Linked DNA regions of Nothobranchius furzeri. The main gene of each other region encodes a partner of the protein of the gene in region 5 in a complex. Links are inferred from orthologs where the notes say so. Each region holds a gene or a part of one and is shown on either strand. Other genes may lie near its edges.

The links.
Region 1: tubgcp5 (region 5) and tubgcp3 share a complex: the UniProt entries of both Homo sapiens proteins name them as parts of the gamma-tubulin ring complex. The link is inferred for Nothobranchius furzeri from reciprocal best matches to the Homo sapiens genes TUBGCP5 and TUBGCP3.
Region 2: the proteins of tubgcp5 (region 5) and mzt1 are in contact, whole or in part, in a crystal structure (PDB 6L81), measured with the Homo sapiens proteins. The link is inferred for Nothobranchius furzeri from reciprocal best matches to the Homo sapiens genes TUBGCP5 and MZT1. Residues at the interface, in NP_443135.3 of Homo sapiens: Gln14, Gln15, Asp18, Val19, Glu21, Leu22, Val23, Val26, Ala27, Gly28, Asn36, Ala40, Phe43, Ala44, Asn47, Phe48, Arg52, Phe53, Leu54, Phe72, Lys80, Ser83, Trp84, Leu87, Thr88, Glu90, Phe91, Ala106, Ser109, Ile110; in NP_001065243.1 of Homo sapiens: Glu23, Val27, Leu28, Glu30, Ile31, Ser32, Ile34, Leu35, Asn36, Thr37, Leu39, Leu44, Ile46, Cys47, Val48, Arg49, Leu50, Cys51, Glu52, Gln53, Ile55, Asn56, Pro57, Glu58, Ala59, Leu60, Ser61, Ser62, Val63, Ile64.
Region 3: the proteins of tubgcp5 (region 5) and tubgcp4 are in contact, whole or in part, in a cryo-EM structure (PDB 9I8M), measured with the Xenopus laevis proteins. The link is inferred for Nothobranchius furzeri from reciprocal best matches to the Homo sapiens genes TUBGCP5 and TUBGCP4. Residues at the interface, in XP_018102626.1 of Xenopus laevis: His233, Leu234, His235, Leu238, Ile241, Trp242, His245, His300, Met301, Thr302, Asn304, Cys305, Ser308, Val309, Gln312, Ala392, Ile393, Leu395, Asp396, Lys397, Arg410, Leu441, Asp442, Tyr443, Asp444, Asn445, Val446, Gly447, Glu448, Ala449; in XP_018110859.1 of Xenopus laevis: Met1, Ile2, His3, Glu4, Leu7, Tyr12, Pro13, Gly14, Ser15, Ile16, Gln29, Pro32, Phe33, Glu60, Thr63, Gly64, Ile84, Arg87, Ala88, Arg91, Arg101, Leu105, Gln109, Leu112, Pro115, His116, Leu117, Val178, Gly181, Val182.
Region 4: tubgcp5 (region 5) and nme7 share a complex: the UniProt entries of both Homo sapiens proteins name them as parts of the gamma-tubulin ring complex. The link is inferred for Nothobranchius furzeri from reciprocal best matches to the Homo sapiens genes TUBGCP5 and NME7.

What each region holds. Positions count from the first base shown.
Region 1 is NC_091754.1:48,776,780-48,781,303, forward strand, and holds the start of tubgcp3 (gamma-tubulin complex component 3), read left to right. Parts: upstream 1-1,379; 5' UTR 1,380-1,501; coding exon 1,502-1,577; intron 1,578-2,445; coding exon 2,446-2,553; intron 2,554-2,974; coding exon 2,975-3,042; intron 3,043-3,197; coding exon 3,198-3,275; intron 3,276-3,351; coding exon 3,352-3,560; intron 3,561-4,524. UniProt on the Homo sapiens protein: Component of the gamma-tubulin ring complex (gTuRC) which mediates microtubule nucleation.
Region 2 is NC_091752.1:31,535,877-31,539,376, reverse strand, and holds mzt1 (mitotic-spindle organizing protein 1), read left to right. Parts: upstream 1-1,543; 5' UTR 1,544-1,780; coding exon 1,781-1,832; intron 1,833-1,972; coding exon 1,973-2,118; intron 2,119-2,279; coding exon 2,280-2,303; 3' UTR 2,304-2,768; downstream 2,769-3,500. Other genes in the region: bora (protein aurora borealis), read right to left, coding at 1-28, 181-225, 343-421, 510-555, 687-793, 1,093-1,242. UniProt on the Homo sapiens protein: Required for the recruitment and the assembly of the gamma-tubulin ring complex (gTuRC) at the centrosome.
Region 3 is NC_091749.1:30,387,903-30,390,957, reverse strand, and holds part of tubgcp4 (gamma-tubulin complex component 4), read right to left. Parts: intron 2,810-3,055; coding exon 2,608-2,809; intron 2,535-2,607; coding exon 2,369-2,534; intron 2,294-2,368; coding exon 2,169-2,293; intron 2,063-2,168; coding exon 2,012-2,062; intron 1,941-2,011; coding exon 1,835-1,940; intron 389-1,834; coding exon 281-388; intron 1-280. UniProt on the Homo sapiens protein: Component of the gamma-tubulin ring complex (gTuRC) which mediates microtubule nucleation.
Region 4 is NC_091756.1:61,686,916-61,690,845, reverse strand, and holds part of nme7 (nucleoside diphosphate kinase homolog 7), read left to right. Parts: intron 1-392; coding exon 393-443; intron 444-585; coding exon 586-793; intron 794-900; coding exon 901-1,006; intron 1,007-3,617; coding exon 3,618-3,682; intron 3,683-3,930. UniProt on the Homo sapiens protein: Possesses an intrinsic kinase activity. Displays 3'-5' exonuclease activity with a preference for single-stranded DNA. Does not seem to have nucleoside diphosphate kinase activity.
Region 5 is NC_091756.1:62,472,659-62,477,323, reverse strand, and holds the start of tubgcp5 (gamma-tubulin complex component 5), read left to right. Parts: upstream 1-1,769; 5' UTR 1,770-1,967; coding exon 1,968-2,101; intron 2,102-2,205; coding exon 2,206-2,259; intron 2,260-4,665. Other genes in the region: chst7 (carbohydrate sulfotransferase 7), read right to left, coding at 1-10. UniProt on the Homo sapiens protein: Component of the gamma-tubulin ring complex (gTuRC) which mediates microtubule nucleation.

The DNA.
Region 1 (4,524 bases), on a different chromosome or scaffold from region 5:
AAACATTCTCAGCCATGAAAACTTAGTGATTTTATAAAACAGGATGTTAAAACCGCTGTTTTATCATTTGTGAGTATTTATCAGCACCATAAAAAGTGTTTCTATAACAAAAATATTCACAATCAATTTAAATAATTTGAGGCTCATTTTAAAGTCATTGGTGAATTGTTTCTTAATGGAAATGCCTTTGTCTTTCTGTGTAACTGTTTTATTTTATTTAATCTTGTATGTTTTTATCTCGTCTTTGGCGTAAAGCTAACTAGTGACTGTTGCTGCTGCCTCTTGGCCATCGTCTTTGAAAATGAGAATGAGTTCTCAATCTCATCTGGTAAATAAAGGTAAAATAAAATAAATAAATACATAAAAATACTTTTTGTTCCCAATAATTAATAATATAGACGAGTGTTCTTCAATTATTTATTGTGCTTTCAGTTAAAGTCGTTTAGGGCTGGATGGCTGTGGTCCAGCTAGTAAGCAAATCAAATAAGTGGAAAAGGTAGGGTTAGAAATGGGACGGCTGAATAGGTTGAATAAACAACCTAAAGCCTCTCATAAAAATACATTTATTACATGTTTTACACTGTAAACTCATAGTTTTGTCATTTTGGGCATGTCCCATATTTCCATTGACCCATACTGATTCATTTGAGAGAATAAACTGGAGACCAGCAGCCTGAGGGGGCACATTCAGTGTTTACCCAGTTTCTCCTGAACCCTGCTGCATCTTCTCAGACACACAGCTACTGTAGCACATTTTAATTATAACTGTTGAAAATTAAACTTTTTAAACTGTCACTGTGTCTTGGTTCCCATCAGATCATTACAGAAAATATTTTCTTTTAAGATTGTGGCTTCTCTTTAAAAAAAACATGTTGTTTTACACTCCCGCTGAAAGAATATGCCATTTCAAATTTTTTATTATTTTTCTCTAACTCTACTGAAAATAAAAATCAATAAATGACAATTTTGCGAAAAAATACGTTTTCTAATTAAGTTTTGTTATGATGGACATTCTGTTTTGTTAATATTCTGTCCTTTGGTTGCTTATTCTGTTCAGTTTATTATGTTAATTTGCACTTTTAATTGTGAAATACTGCACCTTCAATCAAAATTTAAAAACCGATAGTTGTAAATATATTGTTTCTTTATCTTGTTTTGTTAAACATTTTCCTGTTTTGTGTTCAAAAATCAACGAGGAAGGAAACTAAAATAAACAAACTACGATATTTTAGTTCATGACCGGTATCAATAAAGATTTCAACGAAGAAAAACGTGAACATGGACAACTAACGCCCCCTTCAGTTCTGGAAGCAACATGCCTTTTCCTTATATGGTGTTGGTGTGCCCGAGCGCTCCTTCCCCGCCCCTATCCGTTTTCCGCAGCAGCCAGGCCAGTTAGCCAAAATGGCGTTTTCATAGCGGGAGACTGGAGTTAGTTGATGATCTTCTTCAACATTTATTAGATTATCGGACGACTCGTGACTCTGGGACCACAGACACCATGGCAAGCCTGGACCAGAAATCTCCCAACGTCCTTTTGCAGAGCCTCTGCTGCAGGATCACCGGGAAAAGCGAAGGTACATCAGTTAACGCTAGCTTAAGCGCGCCACGATCATTCTCAAGTATCCAGGAAGCTCCCTACCTAACCTCATTCAAGAAAGCGCATTTTTACCATTTCTTTTACATTTCTCTTTTAATAACCTTTTATACTTAACATAATATGTTACTCTAATTGTTGACGGTTGCCGTTGAATTCGGCGAGGAGATTTGTTATTTGGCAGCCTCTATTCGGGAGTAATTTAACGTTTTACACATCAAACTGGAGAGTTTTGCGACCGATTTACGGCGCACAAACTATTTAATTCTAGCTAGCTTTGTGGGGGAACAAAAACATAAGTGACTGATTTTGCAGCTCGCTGGTTGTTGATATCTGTGGTAAACATGTCACGTCGTAGCAGGGCCCGGTCTGTCATGGCAGCTGTCGGTCCTCTGCTCGGAAGATGCTGCACACTCGCGTCACTCACCGCTCTGTTTGGGTTCGTGAAGCTCCTTCAGCTCTGTGAGCTCGGAGCTCCGCAGATCCACCCAACGTGTGCAGGGCTTTTGGATGCACATGCCCTGCTAACTGCAGCCCCCTGCAGGAAAACTAAACATCCCAGATCCTGGTGATGCACCGATTCTGGTTTAGAGGACTGACACTGTTCTCTGATTTTTGTGCAGCTCTGATCTGCTGAATTAGGTTTTAGAGATGGACTAAACATGCACTCATGGACTTCAATGACACACATCTGAGTTTCCTATACTGATTAGACTGCTAAATAATGTCCGATTGCAATCACCAGCTAATGTCTTACTGCCTTTTTAGTTACCAGGTGTGATCAACAAAGGGCATGTTTTTAAACTGAATCTCTTTGACTTGACTGGGACCTTCGTTTGTTCCTGCAGCTGAAGTTGCCCACCAGTTCCAGTATGCGGTGCGGGTCATCGGCAGCAACTACGCCCCCACCATCGAACGGGACGAGTTCTTGGTGTCAGAGAAGATCAAGAAAGAATGTGAGTGCTGCTGGACCTCCTACAGTCCCACAGTGATGAACCCAGTCTGTATGTGTGGAGCAATGTTTGCTTTTTCACGTTAACGCTTACCGCACCTTGTAAAGTAGCTGAGGTAGCAGCAGTCGCACATTTTAATCTGGTTAAATTACACAAGTCCTGGCATATGAAGAGGTTTATTCCAGGAGCTCTTAGCTAAACGGCTACAGAAACATAATCCAGCCTCAGATTTAGATTATAGATGTGGTGGGGCTTGTCAGAGCTGTGACTTTAGACAGATTTGTAGGAAACCTGAGCTTGTTTAGTCAAAACTACGTTTTCTACTGTGTAAAAAGCTCTCGGCTTGTATTTTTTCCTGGATTTTCTGTTTGATTGGGGACTTATTCAGAAGCCCAGCAGCTAACATTTGGTTGTGCCGTTTCAGTGCTGAAGCAGAGGAGAGAAGGAGATGCTGCTTTATTCTCAGAGCTGCACAGAAAACTTCAGACGCAGGTTTGTGTCCTCCTGAGAAGCTCCGGTCTCTTTGGGATTATTAAAGCTCGTCTCCTAATCTGAGAAATAGAATTAAAAATCCAGTTTTTCTGGTTTTTACGGGTAAACATTGGTTATTTTGGTGGAGTTTTTGACCAGGTGTTGCTCTTCATTAGGGTGTTCTGAAGCATCGCTGGTCCGTCCTCTACCTGCTGCTCAGCCTTTCTGAAGACCCTCGGAAACCGTCCAGCAGGGTGAGAGATGCACACTTTTAATCACCTCCCGTGCCAAAGTTGTAATCTCATCTTAATCTGTGCAACTCCTCCTCAGGTTGGGAACTACGGGGCGCTGTTTGCTCAGGCCCTCCCACGGGACGCCCACTCCACCCCGTTTTACTGCACCCGACCCCAGAGCCTGGCTCTGAGCTACGCGGACAGGAACGCCGGCTTGTCGGGAAGTGTCGGGACCAGTGGGATCTCCAGTTTGGGAGTGTACACGCTGAACGGACCCACGCCGACGCCACAGGCCTTGCTGGCCAGGTGAGAGTCCACAGCTTTGTTTTATTAGTCGATTCACCTAAAAGGTTCTGTGAACATCTATAAACACCCGACGCTGATATCACCACCAATCAGCTCCGCAGCATAATCTCAGTCTGAGCTGGTTAGCAGTTTTACGAGGCACTAGAAGCTAATTTAATTCCATTAACTCTCATTAATGATGCAGGAATCCTGCAGCTTCTGCATGATAGTCTGAGTTCACCCAAACAGCAGAAGGGTCATCTCCTTCTCCGAACAAGCAGCAACACTTGGATTATGCAGCGAGTAGCCAGATTAGATGAAAGTGCGTTTTTACAACAGTTCGTAACAATGGAGGCTAACGATTCGAGGTGAAAGTTGAGCTGTTGGGTTTATTCTGCAGAAGCGTGTTGTCGTTGTTTGTAGTGCCGGGTGCTGGTTCTGGTACCCTGAGTAAAACACTTTTTCAGAGCAACCCGTTCAGGTTAATGAGTCACACAGCTCTGTTCCTGACGGTCATGTGACCAGGATGTCATTCACACATAGCCCCGCCTCTTTGTTTACAACATTTCTCTGAGTTTGCAGAAAAAGGTCAGATTTGAACGTCTCAGCTCAGGAGGAGTCGCGCACGCTTTGATGGCGACGTTTTTCTTTCAGACCTCTCCGTCACCTGGAGAGAGTCGCAAAGCAGTTTCCCGCCAGGACAACAGAGGGCGCAGCGCTTTTGTAGGGGTGTCCCGTCTCAGGTCCATGTTGGTGTTTACTGTTGTTTATTTATATTTTGTTCATGTGTTTCAGAGACATTTTAACATGGACGTATTTGTCCCTTGTTCTGTTCCACCTCCAAACCCACGACTCCGGCCACGGATGAAACGCCTGCTGCGTATCTTTGTGCTCCTTCAGTCACGGGTGAATAAACGTCGGAGTTTTTCCTCTGTCCGATATCTACGACACTCACTTTTTCTGAGGGAGGGAATGGCGGTGCTGT
Region 2 (3,500 bases), on a different chromosome or scaffold from region 5:
GGTAGAGACAGGGCCGTCTGGCAAGCAACTGGAAACCAGATAAAATAAATATTGAGGAATCTTTGGTTTCGAGAATCAATGTGTACATAAATATGTAACAGTATATTTTTGTGACAAACATGTACAGGCTTGTGTTCATAAGAAGAAAGATCATCCACTTCTATAAAAAAGAACACCAACCCGAGACTGTTTTTGTCGCCTCTGAAATTGTTGCAGACCCTGGGCCTAAATGTCAAAAGACAAAAGCAGAATAAAATAAACCAGCACGGATTAAAATGTGCAAAGTCCAGGTAAATCTAAATTTAAGACTTAAACAGTAATATAAACAATAAAATAACACACTTTTATTGTACAGGTGAGGGGCTCTGCGGGTTTCCGGTGCTGCCCAGGGGGAAGGCACAATGGCTCCTTTTGTGAAAAACTTTATTGGAAGAAATCAAGCAACACATAATCAAAATAAAAGCTTATTTATGTTTACAAAACCAGAATAAGTTAGATTAATTCAATACCTGCTCAATAGCACTCTGACATTTTTCCTCAATGTCAGAATCAATCCTGAAATAAAGAAGAGCCGAGTTTTATTAATTAATTTCTGAAAGTCTTTCTTTTTCCCTGTCATTGTGCGATGGATTGAGTTGCATCAGTCAACGGTGCTTCCTTTAGGAATTTTAGTTTCAAACACACACCTTGTCTGGCTGAGGTAGAGAGATTGTCGCTGGATTTCCTCTGGGTCTATGTGCACTGGGAGAAGACTGGCCATTTCATCAATAGACCAGTTAAACTTAGAGGGAGTCTGCGGAAGAGACAGGAAATACATGAAGTCTATGTAAAGTTAAATGTTCAGGATTACGAAAATTTCTATGAAAAAAAATCACCCCTAACTTTGTATAAGTTATAATAAATAATAAAAATTGTATTATAACCCCAACAATAAGTTGATCATCTTCCAAATGATTGATCACAACCATTGTAAAAGGTTACAGGTTTGCTTATTTTTTCCATTTGGACGCCTACTATGAAGAATTAACGAACATTTCAAATTTTTTCACAGACATCCTGATAAATGTGGATCTGTTTTGTGTTCAGACTTACAGCCTTGCACGTCTTTGACTTGAAGACAGAGGGACTCGGAACCAGGGGTTCCCGCAGATGGTGGTAGTCGTTAGGACTCTCGAAGGGGTTCCTTATGGAAGACCTGCCTGGAGTTTCTGGTGTGATCTGGAGCTGAATGTGGTCCCCCATCTAGCCTAAAGTCGAGATAAAAAAGAAAACACTTCAAATGCAGAATTAACGAGGCGAAAATCGATCAAGTCAACAGTTGTTGTCGTTCATGTGATGTTAAGTTCGGTACGTTAGCTAAAAGAAAGGAAGCGGTCCACTCGCCATTTGTACTTACAACTTTGAAGATGCACGAATAATTCTGATCGAAATATGTGGAACAGGTCGGGGAAAAACATACAAACAGAAACAATTCAAACATCAATTTCAATTTCTCCTCCTAGGCCCGCAAGCCAATAGAAACGTTGCAGGAAGTGACGATTTTAACGTTATTTCCGCTGCCAGTTTTGACCGACGTGAGAATTTTGGTGAGGTTGTTAGATATGTGCTAATGTGGCTTACATGTTGTTTGCCCGTTTCTAATGATCGGGTTCTGTGACATATAAATACGTTAGCCATTATTATTATAATCAAGTTATTGTTAACTCGTGACGTCAGAGACACGCTGTTGGTTAGCCACTTCTCTTGCTAGGAAGCGTTAGCTAACCATCGTTTTATCACCATGGCAAGTGCAGCAAATGCAAACCTAAACGCAGTCCGGGAGACAATGGATGGTGAGTGTTTATTTGGCACGTAAGTGGCAGAACATGTAGTTTTAAAATACCTTCACAAACGTAAAAGCGCACATGCTTTGTAGCTAACTTCTAACCTTGTCACAGCAATAACATGTTTCATTATTGTTCTCGTTTAACAGTCTTGCTTGAGATCTCCAGGTTGTTGAACACTGGTTTGGACATGGAGTCTCTGTCCATATGTGTGAGACTATGTGAGCAAGGGATCAATCCTGAAGCCTTGTCTGCAGTCATCAAAGAGCTGCGGAGAGCTTCAGAGTCTTTCAAGGTACACAATTATTATGCATATTATTATTATGCAAGTTGCTAGAGTTCTGTTTGGAGCTTGGAGCATCTTCAGTGTTTCCCAAGAACACATTCATTTGCAGACTTGCTAAAAATGTCAACTTGTTAATTGATGGACAACTATATTTATTGTTATTCTTTCAGGCTTCTGAGAACTGCACAAACTGAAGACAGAAGACAGACCTCAAATGTTTGAAACACTCATCGGGATCATGCTCTGATCTGTTTTGGCACTTTTTTTTCTGTGACTTCTGCGCTGTCCTGTTCTGTACTTAATACATCTTTGGCCTGTGTTCGGGGCTCTCTGTAAAAATAGCACCATCTGTCTTATTTTGAACATAAGTCACATGCTTAAAGTGATGTATGCTCAGTCCATCCAATTTCATATTTAGCCATACTCCTGACATGCTTTTGGATGCGGTGCGATGCTTAGTCAGCAATGATATCTTGCTGTAGTAATAATTTTTAAAAGGAGAAATTTAATTTTCTATTCCCTTTTGTCCAACTTCTATGGTTTTTCTTGTGTATATAGTTAGTCATTTAATTGAGTTTTTTAAATAATATTTAATTTTACTTATGAAACTGGGTTTTTGTTGTTTCACTAATTTGTCTAAAATAAACTTGTCAAAGGTGGCCACTAGGTGGTGGTGTGTGTTTCTATTCAATGAAGTTAACAGGTGTTGTCTGAATAAATCAAGCAGTTATAACTTTCCAGTTTTCCTGAGAAAAGTTTATCTAATAAAGAAATGTATAGTTTGATAAAATGTGTGTTGTGGGTGTTTAGACTGCAAAGTTAATAAAAAGTAGTGATTTGCTAAAAGGACACGATCTTTCCTGTCAGACTAGGTGAAATAATGAGCAGAATGGTACACTTTATAATAAACAGCCAATTGTTGAATAAACACAGCTAACAATACTTCACAACAAAGGAGATCTGAGCAAAGGTCACTTAACAGTAGGATGTCCTGTTGATCTAAAGTCTTTTTTCTGATGTGTCTGAATTTGTTCCACAACATTTTGAGATATAGTGCAAGACTTGACAAAAACACATCTTTGATCTACTTGTGGGGAACGGGGGCTTGATCATACGTCTAACCAGGCAGCATTATTTTGTTTCTCTGCAGTCTGTAACAAAACTATTCATCTCCCAGACAAAGAAGAAAAATGCTGAGAGCACAGAATGTTTACAGGTCAGTAAATGGGCTAGAAGTGCCCTGTTCTCAACACTTGCTTGTATGCACCTCTAGGTTTTTAGGTTCACGTGAACGTTAGACGTCTACAAATGAGTAGCCCGCAAGCCAACTGACAGTAATGCCTCACCCCTCACAGGCACATCACAGAAAAAACAGCACAGGAGTGTGAGTG
Region 3 (3,055 bases), on a different chromosome or scaffold from region 5:
TGCTTGAATTGATTTTAAAACTGAATAATATTAAAACAAGTCATTTCATTGCTGGCATGCCGTGTCCACAAACACTCACCATCACCATTATTAGTTCATATTTTTCAACAAACATGTAACGCATGTTTGCAACAGAGAAACTTTAGATCACACATGTACACAACAATAACATCTTCTAAAAGGGCACATGAGCCATTTCTCCGCCTCTAAATTCCCCAAGGCTGATTTTTTTTCCCTCTTTTATTTTCCTTCATGACCTTAATATAAAAAACAAGTGAACCTTTGCTCTCTTTGCCCTGGTAGTCCACAGTTAGATGCAGCAGAGGCAGCAGGTTGTCGTCGTCCAGCAGCACCTTATGAGCAGCCTGCTGGAACGCCACGTTCACGTCTGGAAGGAGAAAACAGTCTCAGCACATGAAATCCATGACTGCTGCTAGTAGTGAACACAAATTCAGACACTTTTCATCAACAGAAACCAGCAGATGGTGGAAGCCCAGGTGTACAATGACTTTTTGGTCACAACCCACTAGAGCTAAATCAGAAGGTGAGGGCGACTCTGTGCTTCTGTTGTCTCTTATTAGCTGTAAGGTGACCCAAGCGGCTTAAACAGGCAAACATCTCGGTCTCTGCACAGACTAAAAAAAACTGGGTCAGCCACACAAAACAAGGCCAAAACCTCCTCTAAATGAATTAGAATTTTCTAAAGAGAATTGAAAACAAGTCAACTAAATGGTTTGTTTCACAGAATATTCTGGAGTGAGTGAAGGAGGGAGCAGGAGATCAGGGCACACGTCTGCAGTGGTGTGGATGCTGAACTGGTCAGTTGAGGTGAAGAAAGCGTTAAGCCAGACAGTGAAGGTGATCTTCATCTCGATCCTGACTTTTGGCCATTAGCGCTGAGTAATGCCAGAAACAAGATCATGAACACAAGCGGCTATAAGGAGTTTCCTTAGCAGGGAGGTTGGGCTCAGCCGTTGAGAGGGAGGAGCAAACAGCGGAGCCGCTGCTCCTCCGTGTTAATAGGAGCCAGCTGAGGCGGTTCAGGCATTTGGTCTGGATGCAGGGTCTGTTTAGAAAAAAATGCACACTCTGTTTATAAGTTGCTGCCGGCCTTGCAGCGCTTCTTCTAGCAGTAATCTGAAATTAATTCCTCCAAACAGCACGCCGAACTTCAGCTTACCCGTCGAGCAGAAAACCAGCAACAGAGGTGTCTGGGGGGAGGCCAACCTTCGCTTTAAGCGTACGCCATCGTTGGAAAGAGTCTCCTAAAAAAAGATTCTGATCTTATTTCTAGGGCCCGACTTCAGAGACACTTCTCCTCTTGCGACTCTCGGCCATTTTCAAAAGAACCCGGTGAGAACGACGAGGAATAAAAGCGGATCACTCTGCACATAGACAGAATGCGCAGGAAGTGAAAACTACCCAGCACCAAGAACGCACGACGACAGCCTTTCGTGAAAGCGTCAAAAAAATGATTGACAGTCTAAACAAACAACCGACTACACGTTTATTTGTGAAACATTTACAGGTACACCAGTTTAGGAGGTCAAAAACAGCTCTTCATCTACAGGGTCTGAGTCTTCCTCTGTAAAACGATGAACCCGATTATGATCTGATGAAGAGGAGGAGACCCCTCTGGCATCTAACCACCACTGTCTGAACTCCTTCCTCAGAGAAAACACCCAAATGAGAGGAACTGGTTGTCTCAAGAAAGTTTGCTATGGATCATAATTCTGTAAAATATTTCATGTATACAGAATGCATATGATATGATTTAACACCAGGTAAAATAAAAACACCCAGAGGTGAGTGAGATCTGTGCAGACATGTTTACCGTGCTCGGTGACTGCTGTTGGAGGAGTCTTCAACATGTGCTGAGCAAGGTCAATGAACACCTGATAGAGCTCGCCACGACCCAGCAGGTAGAAATCCTTAACGATCTGGAGGAGATCACAAACATCGTCAGCACAGCGCATATCCGAGTTCAACAAACAATTACGAAATGAAAAACCTTGAGCTGTTCCAGCAGATTTGCCTCCTCCACCATCAACGTCCACAGGTGCTGCAGATCAAAACAATAGGACCAGGGTTACGTTTTACAGCGCCGTCCCCGCCAACTTGTGTTTTTATTTAACCGAGTAAAGTAATGCAGCGATGCTGGTGCTCACCTCTGCCACTGTGCTCCTGATTCGATCGATTAAATTCTCAAAGTCCACCAGGCTGAACAGCGGCTGCTGTTTGAGTCTGTGTAGCTCAGCAGCAAAAAGGTCCTCCTGGTGCTTTAATATGGAGCCTAAAACAAAAGGACAAAGATGTGTTTGAGGGTCACTAATAAGCGGGCGCTAGACTCCACATATATATGAAGTACCGGCTCTGGACGGGCTGTGGTTGTGATTTTCAAACATTTGAACAGATTCTCCAACAAACAGGATCTTCTCAGCCACCCTGATGGGGATATAAGATGGCAGCATCTCTGTTCGCAGAGAGAACTGCTGGAGTGATGGAGCCAGCATGTTCTCCTCCTCGATCAGCCTCTGAAGACATTAGAGTAAACGCTGTTAGACAGACCCTATCCACGGACTGATGAAGGACTTTAACCGGCCTCACCAGGTCCTGTAATTCTCTGAGCTGCTTGCCACTTAAACCTCCCAGACCCAGGTCCTCCTCCTCCTCGTCCTGGCTGGCAGCAGCACCTCCTGCACTGGGACCCTGCTTTATGAAGAACTCCTCACTTTGATCCAGCAGCAATCCGTGAAGCATCCATGCTGCTAACTGCTTGTACATCACACCATGACACGCAGCCAGAATCCTGCAAAATGCAGAAAGAAAACTCACAAACCAAGACAATATCTGTCAGAATGTCAGCGTTATATACACAAACATAAAATAATAAAAACTTTATGCGGAGTGCAGAAGAATCAAAATAGGCCTCATTAACAAACCAAAACCAGATGAACTTTCGGACCGCTGAGACAAATACGTCATATGCAACACAAGCAAGCTGCAAAAAAGCGCTGAAATGTCTTGATTTACAATCATTAAAACCTACAGAACT
Region 4 (3,930 bases), about 790 kb from region 5:
AAACATTTGACAACCAACCTGTTCAACCAGGCCTCCCTCTGTTAAACCTTTGCTGTTATTTTTTCTCTTCTGTCACGTTCTCCCTGATCACGATGGATCTGACTGTGATGTATATTTTTCCCTTTTTTATAATTTCAGCTTTATTTGGATACACAATGTCCCGTCCAGTTGTGCAGCGCTTTGTGCTAATCTTGTCTGTGAACGGCGCTCTGGAAAATACTTTTGAGTTATTACTAAAATGTTCTTTTTTCTGCTGTTATTGTTTTTTCCAAAGCAAATCACCGCTATCACTAAACTCTGTTAATAACAGTCATCTGGCCAACAGACATGTGAGAAGTGCTGCATCATTTGGTCACCCATTGACTTTGGTGGATGGTTTTGTTGCTTTACAGGAGCCAAGCGGAAGACTTTTACGTGGAACATCAGTCAAAGCCTTTCTTCAGGTGAGTGCTCGTGTAAATGATCTCCCAGTTCTGAGCAGAGAAGGGTTGTGATTGCCATCTAGCACTCCGACCACAACCTGTGATGGTGACATTTTAGAGTTTTTTAAATTCAAATCAGCTCCAACGTGACTCTGTTTTGCAGTGCGCTGGTGCACTTCATGTCCTCTGGGCCAGTGGTTGCCATGGAGCTGGTGGGTGACAAGGCCCTGTCGATCTGGAGGGAGCTCCTGGGACCTGCAGACTCTGCTGTGGCGTTAACAGAGGCGCCACAGAGCATCCGTGCACAGTTTGGAACAGACGCCATCAAAAATGTGGCCCATGGCTCTGACTCCATAGCTGTAGCAGCAAGAGTGAGGATTTTGACTTTGTTCTCGCTCTCTTGTGCCTTCAGTAGTCTGAGAATCGCACTTCCTGGAACGGTCATGATCATTAAAGTTTGTGTGTTTGTTTTTGTAAGGAGCTGGAATTCTTTTTTCCTTCCACGGTCGGCCATGGCCCCTCCAACACAGCCCTGTTCACAGACTGCACTTGTTGTATCATCAAACCCCACGCTGTATCAGCAGGTAAGGAGTCACTCAGGCATGGCAAAATATCTCACTTTTATTTGTATTTTGTTATTTTGAGTTCCTGTGCTGCTGGCTTGTTTCCCCCCCCCCTCCCCAACAAAGCCACCATGTGGTTTCCAAAATGGCCTTGGATTTTTCCAAATCCCAGTGCTGATCCCTGCTCCCGGGGCATGCCACCAGAGCTCTGAGCTGTGAAATGTGAAATTCTGTGCAGAGCTGATGTTTGCACACAGAAAGCTGTTGACTGGAGGTGGACCCCAGCTTTTGTTCTGCACTTACAGCAGAGAACATACAGTAATAACTACAGATCCACTAATATCTTGTTGTATCTTGAGTTTCATCATTTCTCTGGTATCTGACTGTCTTTATGTTTCAGTTTGAGCCAGCGTGACATTATATTGCACATACATGTATAAATTCATGTACCCTTGCATTTACGATGGAAACGCTCTCAATGGTCCCTGAAATAAACTTAAAGGGATTTTCCACCCCTAAGTGAAATTGAGTTTATTGCTGTATTCCCCAGAGTCAGAAAAGTCAGAAAAAAAAACCGACAAAATGATTCATTATAAAGGTTTTGTGAAAGCAAGGCTTATTTCCGTCCACTGCCTCTGGGCGATAATAAAGCCATGGTGTATCTGTGCACCGCTGCTCTCTGGCCTGCCTTCATGCTGCACCTAAACAGAACAGATCGCCCACTTTTGTTATTTCTGCAGTTACAGCCACGCTTAGCCTGCTAGGGCACGTTCAAATCTTTGGCTTGAGAAAGGAGGCGGTGAGAGAGAATACAAGTGGGCATGCTTTGTTTGTCTGCAAGGCACCGTTGAGCAACAGTTAAGCTTGCAACGAGCCGCGGTGATAAACCAGCTCGGTCCGAACGCATGGATTTCAACATTTGCTCAGTGAATACCGGTGGTTGTTGGCTGTGTTAATCATTCCTGACAGGTCACAGTGATAGTGCTCTGTGCTCGTATATAAACTTTTTATCAAACCCCGGCGTTTTCAAATGAAGGTTTCCTTCATTAGGGGGTCCAAATAAATTTAAAAAAAGTAGTTTTATGTGGAACAATAATTGCTCCCCATGTTACGTCCTGATTTATTTGTGATTAAACATATTTGTAGAGCTGGGGTGAGTTTCACCAGCCACACCCAGGCCTGCTTACTGCCACTAACTTCAACAGAACCTGTCCAACAACATGAAGTAGGCTAAAAGATCTCCATGCTCTGGTCTAAAGAACCCAACATCACCAAAGCACTGCAGACCTCATTAAGGTCAGAGGTCATGAATCAACCATGGCGACAGAGAGGTTCTACTGACCGTAATAATCCATAAGACTCATCTCACATTACATTTAGTGTAAAACTAACACTTCATTTCAGTGAAGTATCCTCATTCCAACAGTGAAGCATGGTGATGGTGGTATGATGGTCTGGGGCAGTTTTGCTGCTGCAGGACCTGGGCCACTTCCTGTAAATGATGGAACCATGAACGCTGATCCGTAGCAGAACATATCTTAAACAATGTCTCGCTTAAGCTGATGTGTTTGATGTGCTACAAGAAGTTTGGCGCTTCTTAAAACAGTTCAGTTAAAACGAATCAGTTATCTCTCAGAAAGTGTGGCATTGTTAAAACTTCAAAGCTCCTACTCAGGCGTCAGTTTCACTGCTAGAAGTGACTCCCACACTGTTTACCTTCAGAGCCGTGATATATTTGGTCCGAGCCAAGAATAGAAACCAGGCTGAATGATTTGTCCAGCTGAGGTCGACAAAAAGCTCTGCTCTGATCTCCCCTCAGAAATCTCTTCAGTAGCTCATTTATGTCGTCAAGACGGCCTGTCACCGTGGCCATGAAGGACGCTGTGAGTGAAAATTCACTCAGACATGACCGGAATAGAGAAGCTTCTGTTGCCAGGCTCCTGGAATAGTATCTCCTAGCAACAGCAGCAGCTGCTTTGTGGCGCTGCGAGGAGTGTGTGGAACCTGTGCAGTCCTGGGGAGGGCACAAAGGACTCAGGCTATTACCTAGTGCACATAACTGGACTGTGACGTAGGGAGGGAGAGATCCACAGACGGCGGCTACGCCTGGTTCCTATTGAACGTCTGCGCTGCAGCATTTAGAGTTAATGAAAACCGTCCTGGGTGACAGGTACACAAGCTACTTTTTATCAGACTGAGATTACGAGACTGGCGCCTTGATTCAATTGTGTGTCTGCAGCAGTCTGACCTTCAGAGTCACTGCAGCTGCACCACTTCTACAGCAAAGACCCAGCTCTTTGATGGGATGTACAGTTCACTATCTCGTTTCCTAAAAGGTTGCCTGGACAAAAATGCTTTCCCTCGATAGACAACACATCAGCGAGACTATCTCACTCTGTCCAGAGGACAGACTGAGGTCAGTGCACTGAGATGTACCGCTGATGTCTGAGCAGAAGCACGTTCAGTAGTGATGCATCCGGACTTCACGATAGTCAGATGCTTCACTGCAGCAGTGGATTCAGGTGTTATTTGATCTGGACGACATCTGAGATTGCTGCAGCACTAAAATACCGTGTTTGTCCTTCTGTGTAAACTCGGCTCATAAAGACTGATGAGCATCATGTGTTCACAGGGCTGACTGGGAAGATTCTTAACTCCATATCTGCAGCTGGATTTGAGATCTCAGCTCTTGGAATGGTGATTATTATTTTTCTGTGTTTGTTTCACATGAAATGAGTAAGGTCTGTAAACTCTAGCGCTTTAACAGCGACTCTTCATGCTTCCCACAGATCGATGCTGTAGAACTAACAAGCTGCTCAGTGTTACTGTGAAAGGGTTAGGGTCCATTAGGTGGAATAAAATCCCTTCATTTCAGTCTGTTGTAACAAATGGTTAATGGCCTGTATTTATACACCACTTTCTAGGGTACGACACAGCTTTTATTC
Region 5 (4,665 bases):
TCCTCTTCATTTCCTTCTGCCGAGAGGACGCTGCGAGCGCGTTTACCCGGAGATCTGCTCAGCGTGCTGCGAGGCGCCGGGCGCTACAGGGAAGTTGTGTGTGTGTGTGTGTGTGTGTGTGTAAGAGAGAGAGGGGAGGAGGAGGGGGGGGGTTGCCGCGCCCCTTGAATGACAAATTTACGAGATAGTTTCTCTTTCTGGCGCTCGCATTTCGACATTTTCCCGCAGACCTTGTAATAATTGTTGCAGACTCGTTACGACCATCGGTTACGACCAGACGTTTCTCTTCGTCTTCGTGTTGTTGCTACAGAAACGGAGGAGGAGCGTTCCAAATCCGATAGCGTGTGTTGAACATTCTGTATGGAAAGCTCGTTTATCATTTATACCAGGGGGGCTGCAATTGCTGCTCTGGAGCCACATGTGGCTCGTTGCGTTGGGCCTCCAACAATGGCTTTTATAACTTTGGCTTTAAAATTTATGATGTTTTAATTAGAGTTACAATTTTAGAAATGTAAGTTTAAACTTTTTTTGTTTTATTTAATTGAAAAGCTTCATTAAATTTCCATAGATACTGACACTAAAAGTATCAGTAATACTTTTTTAAATATTCTTCACATTTTCCACAAATATCAACATTTCATTTAAAGAAACATTATTCTTCCAGCAAATTATTTTTTGAACCTACTAATAGAAAAAAATATTTTAAGTGACAACAAATCTCTTTTAGTCGATATTTATGGAAGGTATAAAAAAGTCTGCCTTTTATTTGATAAAAAAGGTCAGAATTCTGACTTCAACCTCCCAAGGCCTGAATTTGTATTTGGTGTGAAAAAAGAAAGAAAAAGAAACATTTTTAAAACTTAATCAAAATCAAGTGTCTCTAAATCATATCTTTTAAAAAGGTCTAAGTTGAAGAGAATGAAATATAATGCAAGAAGAAGTCAATGTCACATATGTGGACACAGGGTCTCATTTGGATTATTTCCTTAGGGCTTATTTTTGGGATTCTGTGAAAAAGAGAGAACCATTTTTTGGTGTCGTTGATGTATTGAAATGATATTTTTTATACTTTTATTTACAGTAAATTACAAAAATCTTTTTTCAGCTTAATTTAAAACGATTAAAGGGATTTTGTAATTATATTCTGATTCCTCTTTTTTCTTTATTCACATTGTAGGTGGATGGACCTGCATTCATCTTTAATGAAGACCCCTGGAATGTGTTTAAACCAATTAAATATTGATCAGTTTCAGAGGACAAACTTTAAGAATAATTGCTTTTATAGTTTAATCAGTAAATTATCATTTATTGCAATTTATACCTTTTGAAATATGCTATTCTTGATTTAAGAACGTGTTATAACCAATGCAGTCATTTAAGACATACGGGGGATGGCTGGACCAATAATTTACTAATGTGATCTCTCACACATATGGCAATAAACCCTTCTCGTTCTGATTCTGAAAAGGGATTAATTAAGATGAGATGGTGGGCGTGGCTATAAGCATGGGGTTAATCAATCAAACAAACCAATGAATGATTTTGAAATACAAATTATGAGTTTAATATTGTTTGATTTAAGAAGAAGGGATGTATTTGACCAGCAGAAATGCAAATTTTGATACTCGAAAAATGTAAACGGGTGCGTGCTTTTTTATATGATACAACAGCCTTCCATACAACATAACATTTCAACGAACAAGAAGGAAATAAAGCGTTGACTTTTTTTCAGTGGTACGCATGCGCACCATTGTATGTTTCGATGACGCGGTAGTGGAGGAATCAATGGACCTAACAGTCAATGTAGCGCCTCAGTTTTTGTACATTTGCAATAACGATTTCAACGTTGTTCTTCAAGTCTTATATTTTGAAAAGTTATCCAATAGTTTGCAAGAGTGAGCCAGGCGGTTCCATGCAGGCTAACGCTTGGGGCTAATTCTTGTAGCACAACCAGCAGCTGGAACACCATGGCACACTGGAGCACCTTTGAAAAGGAGACGGAGAAAGAAACCAAGAAGTTAATCAGATCTATCAGCAAGATTGAAGATGAGGAGGACCAAAATTTCCAGTCTGCGCTGAAATTTACGTGGTCAAATTTCAAGTAAGTTAGCCACCGGAAGCAAGCATGTTGTTAGCTGCTAACAAAAGTGTAGCTAACTCAAAGAAGGGCTGCTGTTTACCGCCTGCTTTAATTTCCTCTGTCAGATTTCATCGTTATTTGGACGTCGACAGTCATAAAGTTCAACGCAGTATAAGTGGGTGAGTGCGTTTTGCTGCTCTTGTTTCCTTCCGGTTGTATTATGTTTCATTTGATTTATTTTAGGGAAATGTGAGTCTAATGGACGGATGTGATCTGGACAGGTGAAGCTCTTAAAAGCCACTTTACAGATCAATACAAGCCTGTTGGTGAATATATATATATATATATATATATATATATATATATATATATATATATATATGAGATGCTAAACATAGCTGATAAAGTCTGAATAATAGGGCCTTTTTGGTTCGATTTGTTGACTTTATAATAAACAACAGCATAAACAGTCTTTGGTTCTGGTTCATTGTAATTTACTGCCAGTGGCTGTAAAGCATCTTCGTTTGGAATAGTTTCATTATGTTGTTTTACTAAGATGACTACTACAGGTAGATCCACCTGATTTAACATTTTTGTATCTTGCACAGTTTTTTGTTGATTGTGTTTAATGCAATATGTTGTTTTAATATTCTGTAGCTGTACTCGTTTGGCTGAATCACAAAACACTCATCTCAAATTGATCTGTATTCAAACAGGAAAGAAGTCAATTCTTGTTTAATTCAGAAATGCATCCGAAAAAAAGCTGGTTATTAGAATTAGCCCATATTTTCTATGGTTTTTCATATAATTTTCAATAATTATTGATATCAATCAATAAGATTTTTTTATTGATTGGAATTTTTTCTATATCGTCCAGTCCTAATATATATACATAATTTTTTAGCTTGTTGTCTGTATAAAAGACACCTGTCCACACCTTAAAACCATCAGACTTATACCTCCACCATGGCCAAGACCTTAGAGCTGTCTAAGGACACCAGGGACAAGACTGTACACCTGCAAAAGACTCGATGAGCCAATCTACAATTGGCATCAAGCTCTTACTTCATGGGGTACTAATGATCTTGAGAGAATGGTGAAACAGCCCAGAACTACACTAGGGGGTGGTTAATGACCTGAAGAGAGCTGAGACCACAGTGACAAAGGTTACTATTACTAACACACTACATTGACATGAATTAAAATTCCGTAATGCTCTTAAGTCCCCCTGCTCAGAACAGCACATGTCCAGGGGTCTCATTTATCAAACATGGCGCAGAATCCTTACTAAAACCGTACTTAAGCTCAGCAAAAATATGTACTTACGCCAAGCAGGTGTGTGATCTATCAAACATGGAGGACTCACAGCTGCACGCAACCTCCACTTCATAAATCTGAGACTTATGAGAATGTTTCTCAGCTGCATTTTAGTCACATCCTGCCCTCACCACGCCCACCTATTGCCATAAATGGTCAATGCAAAGTGCCTTGTGGATCTCATGCATATACATAAGCCGGCTGTTGCAGCGCTCCGCCAATGACATGGCGACCGTAGATCAAGGCAGATCAAGGAAGCGCTATTTCACAGAAGCAGAAGTTGAGGTACCTGTGGGTGAGGTGGAGAAATGAAAGGAAGTGCTTTTGCAAAACAAATAAGAGAAAATCCACAGAGTGGCACAGCGTTGCTGAAGCCGTCAATGCTGACTTCTTCAGAGAGATCTGTGGCGGGTATAAAAAAAATGATACGATCGGGATTCGATCCCCAGACTCCTGGATGAAAGTCACGCGCACTAACCAGTCACCCAAACAGAGATCTCCCCTGTACAAGTAGCCAGGGCGCATGATCGATCGGGTCACAGTGACAGGACACACACTGTCACACACGCATGATGTTCTGTCTCAATCTGTCCCCCTGCTGATATTCTGTATTCTGCGCTTCAGGCTGTGTGTGTGTGTGTGTGTGTGTGTGTGGGGGGGGGGGGGGGGGTCTTGTTCTGTGTGAAAATGAAGCAGTACAAGTGATAATGCTGCAGGATTTCATCAGTTTATCCTTCTCAGCAGCAGCACTGCAGGTGCTCTCCATGTCCAGCATGTGTGTAAGCCAGGTCCTTAGTCATCTTAAAGTTGTGCACGTTTTTCAGCCAAGTTTTCTTTCATAAATCCCAAAGTTTGCGTGGAAAGTTGCTTACGCTGTTTTCCAACCCCATTTTGTGCGTAAGCTAGCTTGATGAATGAGGCCCCAGTCCGTCTGAAGTGTGCCAGCCAGAGACCACCGGGATGATCCAGAGAAGGATCAGGAAATTCAGATGGGAGCAAAACAGAACTGTTTGGAACTTGCTGTGTTTGGAGGAGGAAGAATGCTGAGTTGCATTCCAAGAACACCATTACCTCTGTGAGTCAGGGGGAAAAATTATATTTTGAGGCTGATTTTCTGCAAAGGGGACAGGACTGATCTGTATTCAGGAAAATGGGGCCGTGTATCATGAGATTTGGGGGATAAATCTTCCATCATTAAGAGCAATGCAGATGAAACTAGGCTGGATCTTCCAGCATGACAATGTTCCCAAACACACCGACCAGACAAC